Linked DNA regions of Tribolium castaneum. The protein of the gene in region 2 binds, or shares a complex with, the protein of the main gene of each other region. Links are inferred from orthologs where the notes say so. Each region holds a gene or a part of one and is shown on either strand. Other genes may lie near its edges.

Region 1 (2,849 bases), on a different chromosome or scaffold from region 2:
AACCAATTGTTTTTCCAAGTTTTTGATCCTAACATTCGTAGTATAGATTTGACTGCAACAAAAAATTCTGGTCGGATTAAAGAAGTTGTACTGTAATTTCAAAATGTAAGAATTATTTTGAGGTTTTAGTTTCACAATTGTACCAATTGTAGTGCAAGTCCATTATAATTTGTAATTTTTTTTCCACCATGATGTTTTAATTATAATTATTTGTGTAAAATTTGAAGCATAGAATAGACATGGTGAAGAAAATAATTTGTATTAGGGTAAATATACCATAAATAAATTAAATTTTATTTTACACGGCGTGCGAAAACTCAGATAACCTAAAGGCTCAAACTTTCCTTTTATTTTAGCATTAATTTAAACTTTTTTAGGAAGTGTGGGCTAACGAAACGTTGCAAATTTTATAAAAAAGTGTGACCTGAAGTGGCTGCAAAAATGAGGAAAAATCACAAATAGCCAAGAAACAAATCGTTTTGTCACACGAATACATCAAGAACAGAGCTTCAGAACTGAAAAATTGTTTATGACTGATTGTTAAATTATAAAACTGTTCCTTATAATTATTTACGTAATTTGTGGTCTTATTTCTTTGCGAACGATATTTTCATGGCATGTGTGGGTGTGATCTTGAACCCTTGCAAGGCGTCCTTGGCAGCCCCTGACTGCAACTCGTTTTCAAACTCCACAAAAGCGATGTCATGTCTGTTGGGCACAAGACGCACTTCTTTGAATCCAGGGAATCTATTGAATAAAAATGAGTCAAGTATTTTAACCAATGAACCAAACATACTGATTGAAAAGCATGGACAACATCATTTCGCTCGTTTCGTCGGGCAGATTAGTAAGGAAGAGAATTTGGTTTGGAGGTTGTTCAGCGTTGCTTCCACCGGGGATTCTGTTGGGGTCCTTGTTCTTCTTCTTTTTCTTAGGCGCTTCGTCCTCCTTGGAAGGCGGGGGGCGTATTTTCTTGGGCCTCTCCTGGAACGTACCCTTCATTTTCGAAATAACGTCGGAATCTGTCTTTGCATATTGAATTCGCTGAAACAGGGGAGTTAGTTACGCTTGTGCCTGGTGCAATGCACAATATTTACATTTATAAAATGAGTCTTAAAATGTTGGCGGAATACTCACCATTGGTTTGTCGTAAAACGGGAACCCCTGCATGGAGCGTAAAGCGTTGGTCGAGCTTTGAATTTCCTTGAAAATGACGAAAGCTTGGCCCCGCATTTTGAGGGTTTTGAGGGCCACAATGTCCAGGATTTGGCCAAATTGGGAAAATATGGCGTAGAGTGACTTCTTCAGTTCTTCTTTCTTGATTTTCTCGTTTAGGTTGTTGATGTAGATTGTGTTATTTGGTCGAATATCCATGGTTTGAGGTTAGTTATCTCAGCTAGTTCTTAGCAGAATACCTCTTGTTTGGTAAATAAATCTGATCGGATTAGCACGTTTTCTTGGAATTAAACTTCTCCAGTCTAATTTGTTTTGTACTTAAGTCGAATATATGAAAATTTACAAAACGTTTCGACGCCGACAATGGATTCAAACACCAAACTTTGTATAATAAACCAGCTGAATCTTTAGATTGAATCATTGTTGTTTGACTTCAAAGCTTTAGGTGGTCGGCTACAAAAATGGCGTCGATTAACTTCCTGTTTGATATTGCGCTGACATCTATCCGACAAGTCTGCTACTCGTGTACTGTATTGTTGGTTGTATACAATGAACATCTACCCTTGAATAAAATTTTCTGTAAAAAATAAGGTTTTATTGTCGAAGACACTACATTATTACCTTTTTCAGAAGCCTAGCCAATTAAGTCTTTCGATAACAATTCTGTTTTTCACCTGTGTTTTGCCAAATTTTTATTTTTTCTAATTTTGAATACTTAATTGTTATTTCACTTACACTGACTGACTTCTAAACTCTCCATTTATTTACGTAACATTACTTAATTAATCCAAACTTACCCTAAATGTTGTTATTAAAAAAAGTTGATTAACGAAGCTGCTGATAAGAAAGTCAAAATTATATGCAGATCACATCCTCTCAGTCTCTTGATATTCTTTCTGAAAAAAAAATTTGTGACTACTAGTTTGTCAAAAGCACAAAAATAAAAATTAATAAAAACATAGGTAAATAAAACTTATTATGTAAAAATATGTAATTCAAATAAAAAATTATTTAGTGTTCTTGTGCCAGGAGTTGTTAATTAAATAAAATTTTATGGCAACGTTTAGATTTTATTATGAAAGCATCTTCGACAGTCGAACCCAAGTGCTTGACTCCACGCAATCCATCCGTAAAAACAATAATTGACGTTGCCATAAAATTGTATTTAATTAACACTTGCTACAAGAATACAAGTATTTTTTTCAATCGAAAAATAATTTCACGATAAGACGATAGAAATATTTATTTCATTAAAGTCTTTCTAATCTAAATTTTAATATTTTCTAATTTTTTAATCAATATTTCAGATCTATAAGCCGGTTTACAGAACATTTTAATTGTAATCAAATCTATTCGAGATTATGTAATTTTATGTAAGTAATTTTCATTATATTTGCATTTTTTAGAGTTACTTGTGGGATTTCTTGGCTCAAAATATGTTGCTAGAATTTAGCTTAAACCAGAGTTCTTTTCTTATAAAAAAAACTCTAAATTTGTGCTTTATTTCACTCCAACAAATTCAAATGCGCTGTCAAAAAATTCTACTATGAAATGAAATAGGATTTAGGTATTATTTGTGAAAAGCTTTGGTTTGGATGAAAGAATTTTTGGATCTCATGGTATATTATAGGGTACCTACATTAGACGCCTGTCTCTTAAAATTTTATTATTTT
Region 2 (3,122 bases):
TAAAAAGATAAAATAAGTGACGCGAATTGTTATAGAAATAATTCCAAATCAACTAAAACATTCTGAAATGAAAAAATTTATTTGAACTTTGAAATATTCTAAAACCACTATTACCACACACTTTGAAAAGTATTTCGGTCACTTTAGACACAATTTCCAAGGCGCTCTTAAAATGACACGAGTAGCCACTAAAAAGTATTCGCAAGACGGTTTTGAGATAAAAACAATTTTTTATTTTTTACATGTTTACAGACAAATTTAAAATCCGCAAAATTTAAAAAACTGGTTTATTTCTGTAATTAACATTACTTTTGCTCGCTGTGAAAACTAAAAACTAATTTTCTTCGAAAAATTAGCTGCAAAACAAAATTTGTTGTTAGCTTATTTCGTTCAATTAATTTCTGAAACAGATAAATCTTGCCAGAAAGGCATTGTTTCAGTCGGGAAAGATTGAAATAATACCCAGTTATTGTACGTATTGCTTTATTAGAAAAAATGAAAAATTAATTCCGCTCGCTTCTCAACCTTGTATTTAGTGTAGTACAATACTCTTATCAACCGGAACTTATAAATAAAACTAATTAATTGTACACCTGACTGAAAATTACCTCAAACTTATTCATATTCCATACTTTGTCCATTTTGATATCCTGAAAAAAAATATTACATTTCCCACAATAAATCATAGAAAAAATTAACCGTTCATTTCTTCTTGACCAGGAATTTGACCAGACTGTAAAATCTTCTGTAACCGTTCAACCTCTTCCAAAGAACTGGCCTTATTGATAGCTTCACGAATTTTCGCAATTTCTTCGTCTGTAAGGCCTTGAAAAAATAATTAAATTGAAAAAATAAAACTCACAGAAAATGTAAGACGTACCTTTACTTTTGGCAATACTGTTACCTGTACCTCCGGGAATAAACGTCTTTGCCCTTTTCCCAATTTCTTTCCTAATCTCCTTGCCTTTCTTACTCTTAAACAGAGCCCTCGCCTCTTCCCGTTCCTTAGCTGTGACTTTACGAAAATCGAGCAACCTTAACTGCGGTAACTTATAAATTAGGTATAGCCTGTAATGCTGCTTGGAAGTGATAGGGTTATGTAAAAGACTAACTGTGGTGAGCTTCTCCAAAGTGCACAACGGCTCAATATCACCCAGCTCTTCCAAGTGGTTCCCAGTCAAAATCAGCGTCTCCAAATTAGGAATGTACTCCTCCAAATGCTCCCCAATGCGTCTAAAACCCCAAAACTCAAAAAAAAAAAACGAAAAAACCCCACAACTTACACAATACGGTTATTGTTAAAAAGCAAACATTTCAACCGCTTCAAGTACGGAAAACCATCCAACTTGCGCACATCATTGTCCGAAAAGTCAATTGTGTCGAACTGGTCACCGGTGGCCCCCAGATTTTCCACTTCGGGGATGCGATAACCTAAAAAAAGATGACTTAACCCAACTTTTTTACATTTGGTCCTCACCTCGTAAGTCCAACTCGCGGTCTTTTACCGGATTTATGTATTGCATGGAATTTTGAATCAGCTCGGCTGTTAGCTTCACCATAATTAGGTTTTAGCGAAAAATTACAATTAAACAAACAACGCACAAGCCATCAATTTCACCGACTACCGTTACAGGTTTCTGTAATTGTTACACGAATACCTGTAGAGAGCGCCCCAAACGCAATTTCCCTGAATTTCCAAAAATTTCCAAAATTAAGATGAAGCAATAAATATCAATCATTGGGACCAAATAATTAATAATTTAATTTTTGTATCAAAACATGGAATCTAAATATGAAAAAATACAGGAAAACGTCGTTAATCCGAACCCCTTCTAACCCGAAAAACAAACTTACTTTTAACTGTTAACAGCTGATAATGATAATTTGATAATATACTCCGTATGTTACATTATTGTATTTTGTAATAAAAAGTCCTGCTTCAGTTATTTATTTATTTTAATTAGGTAAGAAAAAATTAATTTCATAATCGGGAAAACCCCAAACAAAAATGGCTCGGATTCAAAGGCTTCACTATATACAAAAACACGTCTGCCAACACTTATTTCAGCGATTTGTGTTGGTCACAAATATGCTAATTCTGGCTAAAAAAAGTTGCTAAACAATAAGAAAAACACAATGAATGTGTGGAATGTACGTTTGAAGTATTATTATCTGTCGGATTCCCCGCATCGTCATTAATTAATCAAAAAATGATTTCGTGAAACGAATCAAGCCATTGTCTTCTTCACTTCCCCTTAGAGCAAAAAACAAGAGCCAAATTATTCATTGACGTCACAAATGTTTATCCAAACCGAACGGGTTTATTTCCATTGAACTTACACCAATTACGCGCCGATGAGTGATAAAACTCGTTCCATTCTTAATCTGGAAGAAAATTTCCTTGTGACTTTTCCGAGCTAATGAGACTTGAAGAATGCGCGTTTCGCGATAAGATTTATTACCACCTGATGATAATTAATTGTGAGCCGAATTGTACTTGAGGGAAAGGTTTCTCACATCACAAATTTCTGAAGGACCCACTTTAAATACGCAATGTGTAATAATTGTATAATGCCACCCACCTGAAAGAATGCAATTGTTGCCTTGTTTACTTATGCTAATTGGAATAAAAGTGCGAGTGTCTTCGGAACAGTACTGCAAATCGCCTAATTTAGCAGCGCTGCATACACAGCGTCTATAAATATCCCACTTTATTAAATAATTATGGAAATGCAGCCTGCGGTCGTTACCGAAAATATGTGAGAAGGCTGCGCTCGCTTCCGGTCGGCAGTCCTTAGGCAAGGACTTCCCCTGAGTTAAATTCCATGTTTACAAAAAGGTGAATCATAATTAGCTGCATTGTCAACTTTCGAGCCGATCGCGCTGATTTGAAATTCGTTTCAAAAAGTATTTAATAAAATAACATCATTAACCCACATTCGTGGACGACAGAATGAAAGAATGTCTAATGATGTGGTATTGCAGAAACACTAGTACTACGGTGAAGAAACGCATTCAAATTAAACGACACTTAGCAACTCTCACAAGTTATACAAAATTTTTGCGAGTCACAATACAATCAGCGCGACCTTAGATTATTCAAATTTGGAGTAACGGAAATA

Evidence for each region.
Region 1: the proteins of U2A (region 2) and snf are in contact, whole or in part, in a crystal structure (PDB 6F4J), measured with the Drosophila melanogaster proteins. The link is inferred for Tribolium castaneum from reciprocal best matches to the Drosophila melanogaster genes U2A and snf. Residues at the interface, in NP_610315.1 of Drosophila melanogaster: Tyr15, Asn17, Pro18, Arg20, Glu23, Asp25, Arg27, Ser50, Leu70, Asn72, Asn73, Ser92, Ile94, Thr96, Leu121, Ile122, Leu144, Asp146, Phe147, Arg148, Lys149, Lys151; in NP_511045.1 of Drosophila melanogaster: Ile18, Glu22, Lys24, Lys25, Ser26, Tyr28, Ala29, Ile30, Ser32, Gln33, Phe34, Gly35, Gln36, Ile37, Leu38, Asp39, Ile40, Phe72, Pro73, Phe74, Tyr75, Asp76.

Annotation. Positions count from the first base shown.
Region 1 is NC_087394.1:32,061,204-32,064,052, reverse strand, and holds snf (U1 small nuclear ribonucleoprotein A), read right to left. Parts: upstream 1,678-2,849; 5' UTR 1,375-1,677; coding exon 1,138-1,374; intron 1,045-1,137; coding exon 797-1,044; intron 748-796; coding exon 588-747; 3' UTR 509-587; downstream 1-508. Other genes in the region: oxysterol-binding protein-related protein 11, read left to right, coding at 378-423. UniProt on the Drosophila melanogaster protein: Binds stem loop II of U1 snRNA. It is the first snRNP to interact with pre-mRNA. This interaction is required for the subsequent binding of U2 snRNP and the U4/U6/U5 tri-snRNP. Plays a role in regulating sex-lethal splicing.
Region 2 is NC_087395.1:21,924,828-21,927,949, reverse strand, and holds U2A (U2 small nuclear ribonucleoprotein A'), read right to left. Parts: upstream 1,646-3,122; 5' UTR 1,560-1,645; coding exon 1,478-1,559; intron 1,432-1,477; coding exon 1,284-1,431; intron 1,234-1,283; coding exon 881-1,233; intron 826-880; coding exon 700-825; intron 651-699; coding exon 616-650; 3' UTR 514-615; downstream 1-513. UniProt on the Drosophila melanogaster protein: Involved in pre-mRNA splicing as component of the spliceosome. Associated with sn-RNP U2, where it contributes to the binding of stem loop IV of U2 snRNA.